Linked DNA regions of Astyanax mexicanus. The protein of the gene in region 2 interacts with the protein of the main gene of each other region in a pairwise test. Links are inferred from orthologs where the notes say so. Each region holds a gene or a part of one and is shown on either strand. Other genes may lie near its edges.

Region 1 (3,756 bases), about 19 Mb from region 2:
GCTTTTGTGATGAGGACAGCTTGTTTTGTAATTTCTGTGGATTACATACCCAAGTACAAAAATTTTACATTTTTACAGTATTGGATGTGCTAAATGGCCCACAATTATATTGTATAATGCAGTATATTTTGTTGGAGAATTCTAAATGTTCTATATTAACTAGTACTACTAGTTTTCATTACAACACACCAGACAAAAAAAATGAAACAAGCTATAAGAGTTGGCTAATACAAAAATATATATTTTTTTGTATTCTAGGAACAAAAAAAACAATATGCTTGAATTTAAAGTTACATTCTCCAAGCTATACATACTACATACACCATACATGCTATTAGACTCAGGCCCTTTGCAACAAAGCAAGCAAACCAATCAGTTGCTTGGCAACCTTAGCTGGCCCCCAACCAATGACTGGTTATAAATTGAATTTCTCATGATTTCTCAAAAAATCCTCTAAATGACAATATTTTTATTTGTAATTTGGGAGAAATGCCATCAAAAGTTTATAGAATAAAAGTGCAATGTTCATTTTACTCAAACATATACCTATAGATTTATATTTTTAATATTATTTTTATTATAAATATATATATATATATATGTATGTGTGTGTGTGTGTATGTATATGTATATATATATATATATATATATATATATATATATATATATATATATATATATATATTATACATTCTATTTTCATGTGGTCTCAATTTTTTTCCAGAGCTGTCCAGATTAATTAATTAATTTATAAATTATTAATAAATTATTTTTTGCAACTTGTGATGTCTGCAGATGCCTTGAGATGACTTCTGGTAATATACTGGTAATGTAATGTGCTGGTAATGTAATGTACTGGTAATGTAGTGTACCGGTAATGTAATGTACTGGTAATGTAGTGTACCGGTAAACTAATGTACTGGTAATGTAGTGTACTGGTAATGTAATGTGCTGGTAATGAAGTATACTGGTAATGTAGTGTACCGGTAAAGTAATGTACTGGTAATGTAGTGTACTGGTAATGTAATGTGCTGGTAATGTAGTGTACTGGTAATGTAATGTGCTGGTAATGAAGTATACTGGTAATGTAGTGTACCGGTAATGTACTGGTAATGTAGTGTACTGGTAATGTAGTGCCTGTTTAGAAATGTGTGGATTTGGAAGAGGCCCCTGGTTTTACAACATAGCGTCACTTCCTTCGAGCGGCTCGGCTGGCTGTACTGAGACTGGAGGCGGGTGGGGAGTGTGTGAACGGAGTGTGTGAGGAGTGAGTAGGGGAACCGAAGCAGAGGAACCGCGGAGGAGAGTGTGGAGCTGTATGGACCATGGAGTGTGTGAGTATCTTCAGCTAAAAACAGTTAAACTCAGAAGTAGGAGAAACGAGCCGGCGGGCTCTTCAGACCGTTAGCGCCTCCGGTACCGCGCTCTGGCTTAACGTTATTTAGCTAGCGTTAGCTAGTTAGCTTATCTTAGCTGAGTGAGTAGGGTTAGTTGTGTATCGCCTGGTCTGCTTCTGTAGCTCAAAAGACCAAACGGGCTTTTAAAAGTATAAATAACATGAAAATGAAAAGATAAGTTGCCAACCATCTTTTTGGCTTCGGTAGAAACTTTTAAAACTGAGTTTAGATCCGCAGTCTTGCAGTTTTAACATCCTGAGCGGTGCTAGCGAGAATCTAGCGCCGGATAGTGCCAAACAGCGGCGAATAACAACTCCTTATCTGGTAAGGTTAGTTAAATTGCAGACAACGTCTGTGGGTTCCTCTCTCTATTTATCCTTTATCTAGGTTAACTAATTCTATTTAATGCCGGCTATCTATTAAAAGAGTTAACCTAGCCTCTGTTGGAGTAAGTAGTTTGCTAGCTAGCTAACCCAACAGGCTAACTAAGCTAACCTATCTAATTACATGAAATGATGGTAACGTTGTCTAGGACCTGACAGTTAACTAACACGTACGTTACTAGTTAATGTTTGTTAGTTATAAATCAAAACGTATGTTTAATATCAAAACATTCAAATACTTTCACCACTGCTGCTGTTTAAGTTAGTTATTATTTTGAGTGTAATGACAGCTAGCGTTAATTCTTTATCAGATATGTTGCCAACATGTAAAATCTGAATAACAATATTATGGTGCAAGATCTCAGTATATCTGTACATTTGTTTTAGTGATTTAGCTCAGTCTTCTCAGTGTTAATATAATTTTAAATAGTCAAGTCCCGTCAAGTATTTTTTTTGTCATAACTGCAGGTGTAACTTACAGGACAGCTAATTGAAATTATTTTAATCTCCTTTCCAAAAGTTACAGCAAGTACCACATAAAATTATAAATATAAAATAATGAGAGACACTATATGTACAATACAACAAGGTCACAGATATAGACATACGTGAGGCAAGAGACACAATAGTGATGGGGGGGGATTAAAGAAGGAATGACAATGCCTGTATTAACACTGGTGCAAATATAAAGGTATAAAAGCTAAAACACACACACACATATATATATATATATATATATATATATATATATATATATATATATATATATATATATATATATATACGTATATATATATACGTATATATATATACATATATATATATATATATATATATATATATATATATATATACGTATATATATATATACGTATATATATATATACGTATATATATATATATATATACGTATATATAGTGTGTGTGTGTTTAGCTTTTATACCTTTATATTTGCACTAGTGTGTGTGTTTGCTATTGACTGTAACAGCTAGCTGGGTAACCCACCACAGGTTTGTCCTGATACAGTACCAGTCAAATGTTTGGAGACTCTTCTTCTTATTTAGTGTGTTTTCTTTCTTTTTATGTTTCCATTTTTTAAAGTAGCACATTTATCTTTAAGGGCAGATCTGCACACTCTTGGTATTTTAACCTCAGTGTCTTCATGAGGTAGCGTCACCTGGAATAGTTTTCTCAGCGTTTTGAAAGAGTTTCTGGAGGTGTTGAACAATAGTTACGGCTTTTCTTTTAGGTTGTGCTCCAGCTCATCCCAAACCACATGGGTTGGGTTTTTATGCCAGGTGTTTGTGTCTTCTACCCAGTTGCATATGTTTTCCTTCCTAGTTTTTAGGTATTTAATAATAATCTACATTGTCGTATATAATACAAAGAACAAATGTTAATGAGAATGTGTGTTCAAATTTTTGACTGGTACTGTTTCGTACATGTTGTAAAATCTGAAATATGTCATGGTACGAGATCTTAGTATATCTGCCTTTTTTGTGCTCAGCTCAGTCTCTTTACTAAAATTGTTGTAGGACCTTAACACTTGGCTTAATAACTAGGATGTGTGTTTTCTATTGAATGGCTGTAGCTAGGAAACAAAGCCCAGTTTTGTCCCGGTAGTCTTTTCTTGTGATCATATTTTATGTAATTAAACTGCATACTACTGCATTTCTCTCTGTAAAGAAATAAATATACCAGATAAACAGAATTACTGTAAATAATGCACTAGTTTCTGCCTGTTGTTGTAGATAATGTAGAGTTAAAAAGGAAAAGAAGTATGCCAGGTTTTAGCTTGAATTTCCAATTTATTTTATCTAGACACATCTTAAAATGTAATTTACAGTGTTAGTTTGTCAGAATATTGTGACGTCGGGAGTAACTTTAGCACATGTATTCAAAATCAGTCAATCCCAGAGCATTTTAAATGACTGCTTCTATTCAAGAATACTTGTGAGAAAAGTATGCTTTTTAAT
Region 2 (3,756 bases):
AGTTTTTCAATGAAAGTATAAGAACTCCTTGACTTGGAAAAAAAAATAATTTCCTCTCGTTGTAGCATAAGGTTTTCTAGGTTAAAAGTCACCGTTTCACCTCCGTTTGTAAACTCGAAGTCTAGCCGACAGCCTGAAAGATTACAGACATTCAGGTCAGAAGGCGTGTGAAAGGTGCTAGAGGTTATTTAGCCTGTACAGACAATCTTCTCCAGGAAAACAGCACAGCTTTACACAGCTGATCCCGCCAGGACTGAAGGTCTTAAAAGTTCTGTGCCCTGGAATCTGTTTTCGTCTGCCGGTCGCTCAAAGACCTGCAAAAAAAAAGAAGTGAGAGAGTGAGCGAGAGAGATTTACGACAAAGATCAACAGGGTGAAATCACGGACATTCTGTCCTGACACAACAAGTACATTCCTGTTGCTTAAATGACACACAGTCAGCACACTGCAATCAGACAGCATAAACTAACTTTAATCATGCTGATAAAACTAAAATAAAACACACAAAATATTGCAACAGAAACACATATAACAGTATATGCTGAGAGTTCAGAGCTAAAAAAAAATAGTCCAAAGGTCCGGTAGTTACTTATCAGTATCCATGGATATGCCAAGTCACAAACAAGCCAACCAGTCTGCTGCTGGATGTGGTGTTGTGGTAGTGAGCTGAACAACACTGTTATTTAAGACCAGTGACGCGCACACACACTGGTTGGTTTCAATCAGGTCCGACTCCCCCCTCGTCATCGTGACTACATTTTTCTTTACGTCAAATTATCTCGCTGACGTCCAAACAACTACAAACTTTTACTCCACAGGTGTCTTTCTCTGCACTACACAGCTTAATACAACAAAAGCATTTGTTGTTGACATTTTGTTAGCATTAGTGTAAACTGATGAAATGTTACAATTGGTCAGAGAGAGCGAAATAGTCGATTTTAAGTTGTAATTTTAACACACCACAAGTAAAAAAAAATGTTTTAGCCAATGTCGACTCTACATATCAATGGTCGCTTGCCTGTTTGTAACGACACTTTAAAAAGCAATAAATATCAGCGTGGAGAGTAAAAAATAAAACTAAACAAAAACCAAACCACAGGCCGCGAATCCCCGGGCTTGAGTTCGAGCCCCTGCGGGGGACAGTGCTGCCAAGGCGGGAAGCGATTCTACTGAAGAGTGGGTCATAATGAGCCAACCAACCTCAGGAAACTTCGCCGTTCTCCAGCCTCGTCCGTTCAGGTTTGAACTTTTCAGTCCGCAGAGCTTTTAAAGAAGCGTTTCTAAAGGGTGGATAACATTACAGGTATATCGTGTAAAACTTTCTCTCGCTTTAATAATTAAACTAGCCACAGCAGCTCCTTTTAGGAGCTAACTAGGTTACCTAACGCTAGGTTATTTTACCAAACAACGCGCACCTTATTCAAAACAATTACCGGCGAAGGGTTTGTTTAATTTAATCAGGTAAACACTGGCACAGCTAGCGGAATTTTCGGTAAAACAGTCTAACCTACATAGCTTATCTTAATTTTACATCTTAAAAGAGAATACAGAGAGTTAAGGCATGCCGTCAGCTGGATAAGGAAAGTAGGCGATCGTGTTTCACTTTATTAACCCCATGAACCCCGACTGGATTATTGTGGGTCTTTAATACCTTTCACTACAGCCATATATTATTGTAAAGAAAAATAATTTAACACTGCATTTATTGTTTACTTTTATTTTATTGTTATCTAATCTTTTAGGCTTAATCCTTATATAAACACTCCTTATATAAAACCTGCACCATCTTTTAAACGAGTAGAGCTACTGTATGGGTAGTGGATTTCTTCATGATCCATGAGTCCATGATTTTCAGTGTTAAAGATCTCTGCATGAATCACAGCCCCAAATGCTTTAGATAAACAGTGGGATTTCTAAGACTGCGACCCTACACCTAAAAACTAACCTATGTTACCTAGCGGTCTGTGCTGTTCCAGACAGACAGACTTATGTATCCTGGCAAAGCTCGAAAACACTCCTCAGCAGTGCACTCTGGTGAAGCACGGGCAGATGAATCACTTCCCACCGACTCAGCGTGCAACACGATGATAAACAAAGAAAATGCACAGAAAAGTGCAGCTCTAACGAAACACAACGACTCGTTTTTTGCAGTGCAAAGGTTTTAAGGTTGCTACTCACGCGTCTTGTGAGGATGAAGTCTGTCAGTGCTGACTAAAGGCCAGATGAGAGGAGAGGGGGGGGGACAGAGAGAGAGCGCGAAGCAGTAAGTCACCATGACTAAGCACTGCGACCGACTAGCGACGGTCGATTCAGGAACGAATTGTTCTCCATGAACCGAGTCAGATGAGTCGATTCGCAAATACTAGATTCAGACTCGGATTCAAATAGGCAATATACTGTAGCTATCGAGAACATAAATGGTCAAACATTGCAATAACCGTGACTACAGTAGTGTCAAAAGAAAAAGTAACACCAAAAGTACTGAATAAATGAAATAATAGCGTAATACATGACATAGTGATATCTTTAAAATATATACATGTTTTATTTATATAACCCAACCAACTCTTATTTTTCATTGAAAGTACATTGTATTCACGGTAAACAAGGATTAAAGAGAATATATATATATTAATTTAACAAAAGCAAGCACAAAAAAACAAGACTGGAAGAGTAAAAAATAACAATTTAAGGCTTAATTAGTAAGAGTTAAAATATATAGATAGATAAATGAATCAGTCAAGCAATCCAAATTACATAAATACATTTCGGAATAAGAAAATAAACTGTAAAATTATTAAAATATATGTGAACACTAACTTTGAACTGAAATAACAAAAAAAGAACATTTAAAACAAAAGTATAAAAAGAAGCAACATTAGAAAAAACAAAAAAAACAATAATAGAATAATAAATAATAATAAATCATATTTTATTAATAGAGATGTGACTTATTTAACTACTTTCTTATGTATCACAAAACTGGGAAAGTGGGTGGTTGAAGGTGCGAATATCTTCTTTGTGATACTAAACTAAAAGGAATCGTTCAGTCATGTAAAAGGTTCTTTCGAATCGATTCCGAATTGAATAGAGCAAGCTTCCTATTGCCACAACAAACCTCACAAGAACAACACCCCCCCACCCCCCCACCCCCGCACACTCCCCCCTCTTACACACTCGTTACACAGAACTGTGTCTTTTCACCCTGCAGCTTTTCTGCCTTCCTGTCATCATATGCCAATCATCTGCAGCCCAGGGTTGAATGTAGGATTCGACGGTGGCTTAACACAAAGCTGACAGAACAAACAATCAGCTCCTTTCTTCCTTCTGTCAGAGTTACAATTAAAAGCAACTAAGAACATAATAGTTCAGCCTCGCGACCTTCTGGAAATACTGGCACATCGAGTGACTGCAAGCGTGTTTAGCAGTCAGTGCACGAGCTTTCTGCTGCACTGATCTATGTATCACTCACGCAGTAACCTGTAGCGTGTGAAGATGTTTAATGTGCAAATGCATTACGTAATTGTTAAATTCGCAAATACATTACGTCATTTTAAAAGTAGGCTTCCCACCCTCCCTGCTCCCTGCGTGCAGTTCACAACACAAACGCATTACTAGGCGCGCGCAGACTGATGTGTGCGTGCATGATAATGCAAAACTAATATGCATATTTCACCAGGAACATGGGCTCACACAGAACAATAAAATCTAATTTTGCTTTATATGAAGGCTTCCGTAAAATGCGGTTGTTAGATT
Region 3 (3,756 bases), on a different chromosome or scaffold from region 2:
GATACTTTTGATGATTGTATTTGACAGTGCAGTGCAGTGCAGTTCATGGCTCATTGCTTACATAAAACTGATACAAGTCATGCATATTTACAGCCAGAGATTGGAAGTGTAGAAAGTATTGTACTGCATCTGTGGTCAGAGGTTCAGATGTATAGATACACTGCAAAGATACATGAATGTCTTTCTAAAGTGTCGCTATTTCTTCATTATTCCATCCATGGCAGCACATATTAATTTTAAGGGAAACCCTTACATTAAAATAATGGCATGTTGAAAAACTGGCAAAGAGTACTTTTGAAGACTATAAATATTTAGGCATGCAGATCTCTGATCAATCGCATGCTTTAAAATGGTGGTTTTGTCTGTTCACACCCTGATTATCAAATAACATTGAATACATGTTATTTTGTTTATTGTATTACATATATTATGGCTGATAATGAAAAAAAAAACCTTTATTTAACATTGCATAGTAGACATTGGTCAATGTTGATTTTCTTAATGTTTACTTAAAGATTTTAAATGGTTGGGCTGAGCTCTTCTACACTTACAATTCTTTTAGGTGAAAGGTCCTTCCCACAAATTTTAGTATTAATACTTATTATTTAAATAGCCCTTTCTACACTACAAGGACACAATACAGGCTATAAGAATAGAATACAAACAAGATATACAGTATCAGTCAAACATTTACACATTACATTTCATTATTAAATTTTATTTTTCTGCATTGTAGATTAATATCAAACTGAGGAAAATATATGAAATTATTTATTAAACAAAAAAGTGTCAAACAAACAAGAGTATGTCTTATATTTTAGATTCTTCAAAGTTGACACCTCAGTTTTGCACGACTTTAAGTTTTCTTAGTCAGTTTTATAAGATAGAGTCACTTAGAATGGCTGGCTTTCAGTTAACAGCTGTGCTGAACTTGTGAAATGTTAATTACTTAAATGTATTGCCCTTGTCCTGGCATCAGTTGTAAATTTGTGTGTGTAGAGTTGGTATACAGTAAATAGCTCTATTTGAGTAATGTTTTATTCCATATTATAGTAAGAACTACTCAACTAAGCAAAGCAAAAAACTAATTAATGAAGTTCAGTCAATTTGAAAATTCTCAAGACAGAAGTTAACAGCACCCCAGATAAGAGCCACCTAATGCTTCACAGAGTATATTGGTTTGTTTAACACTTTTTTAGTTACTGTGTTAACCATTGTGCGTTCCTTCATAGGCTATGTGACTTCAGCATATGTAGGGAAAAAAGAAAAATATACACATTAAATTAAAAGAGGTGTATACACACACACAAACCCAGTGTGTACAGACCCCTGGACATGCTCTGTGGGTGAAGAGCTCTTTCTTGCGCTTCAGCATGAACCCTTCTCGACTCCGCGCTCTGATTGGTTGGAACAGCTGTCAATCTTCTTTTCGCGCGCATGATTGGTTTCGGGGCGGGCTTTGCTTTGAATGGATAGCGGAAGTCGGTGTGGACGGTGAGCTTGCATTTTGACAGCGTTGGACAGAACTGGTTCAGGTAGAAAGTGATTTAAGTGCATTAATTAACGCAGGGAGCGGGTCTGTGTGAATGGAGGAGGTGTAGTCAGACTGGAGCTCGTTTAAATGCCTAATTAATTTAGCTGGAGAACTTAAACAGCACAAGCTATCAAGTTAGCTAGCAAACCTGAGCTAGGCTAGCTAGCTTTGTTAGCTTAAACTGCTCAGTGTTTTCAGTTGAAGTGAAAGTAACATTAGAAGACCAGGTCTGCAACTTGCAGTGTCCATAACATATCAGATAAATTATATTCAGAGAGCTAAAACATCCCCTTTGTTTAAAATATTCAGTTTCATTTAATAGATTTCTCCTTCTGAACTGAGTGAAATATTTATTTATTAAACTGAGGGACATATTTATTTTTTAACATAAGTGAAAGATTTATTTAACAAACGAAGGGAAATTTTTAATTATTAAATTGCGTAAAAGATTTGTTTATTTAACTGAGGGAAATATGTATTAAAGGGCTCTATTAGCGAATTCAATTGAAGGAATGAGTGCTTTATTAATCTGAGGGAAAGATAGTGCTGGAAGATATGGAGCAAAAATAATGTTTTTTTTTTCTGAATGGCGATGTACAATATATGATATAACCTATTATAATGTGTATCATTTTTTTCGTAAGGTAAAACTAAAACATTCATTATTCATGTAGAAGTATAGATACTAGAGTTTAAAAGTAATTATCAAAAGTAAAAGTACTGGGTTCAAAACATGCCATTAAGAATAAATAAAAGCTTAGGCTATAGGGCCTTACCCCCTTACCAAAACACCTTTTTTTTGTCTAAAAAGAAGTAAAAAGTCGTTTGAAAATAATTGAAAATAATTAATCCATCAAAGTATAGATTTCAACATTTCCACTTAAATAAGGTAACATAATATTTGTATTTTGCAGGGCATTTTTATTATTCAGTGCCATATCCTGTGTGTATAGCAGACATAGCAGAATTTTATGTCTAATTCCACAAATTAATTATAAACTACAGATGTTTTTAACAATAGAATTTTCTTTTCCATTTCAAGTAGCCTAGAAACAAGTGCCACATACAAAATTGCTTTGGGGACAAAGTGCATTTAAAGTGTTTAAGAAAAAGTAAATGTAGTCCACATAGTCTATATTGATATAAACAAATTTGTGTCTTATATGAAAATATATAGAAAATTCATAAGATTAAATTGAGGAAATAGTAGGGGCTCATTAATCACTCAATATCTAGTTGGCTGTAAAAGTCTGTTAGTCCTTTTGTGCCAGTAAAAGAAGATATAAAATTTTGCCATTTTTTCCTAGTCATTGAACATCTTCCAGGTCCATTACTCAGCATTATTACTGTATTACTGTATCAGTTCATTTCTTGTTCCTTAACAGCTACATTTTTTTTCAGAATTACAAATTTAATTTGTAATTTCGTCTTGTTCTTCACTCCACAATTAAACTCATTTTAACTTTACTCTTCGTCTCTTTTCTCTTACAGAGCCCTTTGATTGTAGTAGAGGAAACGTGCTTGATAACCATCATGGTGGATTCTCAGTACTACCTCCCCAATGATATTGGGATCTCAGCTCTGGATTGTGCGGAAGCCTTCCGACTGCTGTCTCCCAAGGAGAAGTTGTATGCACATTACCTCTCTCGGGCAGCTTGGTATGGTGGTCTCGTGGTGCTGCTGCAGACCTCCCCGGAGTCTCCCACCATCTATGTGCTCTTGCAGAGAATATTCCGGAAGCAGCCCCCTGCAGAGCTGGAGGCCGTGGCAACTGCAGCAGGGCTGACCTCAGAGGAATACCAGGTTAAAAATCTCTCATGTTTTACTAATCTCATATTTAATAGCAGTACAAAGTTGCCTAAGTGGTAATGGCAACTTTTGTTTTTCTCTGTTTATTTTTACAGGCATTTCTTGTATATGCTGCGGGGCTTTATGCCAACATGGGAAACTACAAGTCATTTGGTGACACCAAGTTCATCCCCAATCTGCCAAAGGTAAATGCTCCAAAGCTTCATATGCATATTCTGCTTTGATTTATGACTTTCTATGACATCAGTTTTAACTGGACCTGAATATACCTGCAGGAAAAGTTCAAGGCACTGGTGTGGGAGAGTCAGGCCTATAAGGAACGCCCTGATGAGATCGAGGTGCTGTGGAACAGCTGCTCCAATCTCCTTTACTCCTTAGAAGACAAGCAGAAACAGCTTGGTCTTGGGGACAAG

Evidence for each region. The genes of interacting proteins can lie anywhere in the genome.
Region 1: the proteins of keap1b (region 2) and prkag1 interact in binary tests that used the Homo sapiens proteins (3 or more experiments, as listed by UniProt). The two-hybrid records come from large-scale screens. The link is inferred for Astyanax mexicanus from reciprocal best matches to the Homo sapiens genes KEAP1 and PRKAG1.
Region 3: the proteins of keap1b (region 2) and dpp3 interact in binary tests that used the Homo sapiens proteins (3 or more experiments, as listed by UniProt). The two-hybrid records come from large-scale screens. The link is inferred for Astyanax mexicanus from reciprocal best matches to the Homo sapiens genes KEAP1 and DPP3.

The regions. Positions count from the first base shown.
Region 1 is NC_064412.1:12,725,110-12,728,865, forward strand, and holds the start of prkag1 (5'-AMP-activated protein kinase subunit gamma-1), read left to right. Parts: upstream 1-1,177; 5' UTR 1,178-1,325; coding exon 1,326-1,334; intron 1,335-3,756. UniProt on the Homo sapiens protein: AMP/ATP-binding subunit of AMP-activated protein kinase (AMPK), an energy sensor protein kinase that plays a key role in regulating cellular energy metabolism.
Region 2 is NC_064412.1:31,853,053-31,856,808, reverse strand, and holds the start of keap1b (kelch-like ECH-associated protein 1B), read right to left. Parts: upstream 2,313-3,756; 5' UTR 2,179-2,312; intron 2,171-2,178; exon of another isoform or gene 1,955-2,170; intron 1,683-1,954; exon of another isoform or gene 1,201-1,682; intron 693-1,200; exon of another isoform or gene 590-692; intron 315-589; 5' UTR 1-314. UniProt on the Homo sapiens protein: Substrate-specific adapter of a BCR (BTB-CUL3-RBX1) E3 ubiquitin ligase complex that regulates the response to oxidative stress by targeting NFE2L2/NRF2 for ubiquitination.
Region 3 is NC_064424.1:16,347,417-16,351,172, forward strand, and holds the start of dpp3 (dipeptidyl peptidase 3), read left to right. Parts: upstream 1-1,451; 5' UTR 1,452-1,535; intron 1,536-3,025; 5' UTR 3,026-3,067; coding exon 3,068-3,337; intron 3,338-3,438; coding exon 3,439-3,528; intron 3,529-3,618; coding exon 3,619-3,756. UniProt on the Homo sapiens protein: Cleaves and degrades bioactive peptides, including angiotensin, Leu-enkephalin and Met-enkephalin. Also cleaves Arg-Arg-beta-naphthylamide (in vitro).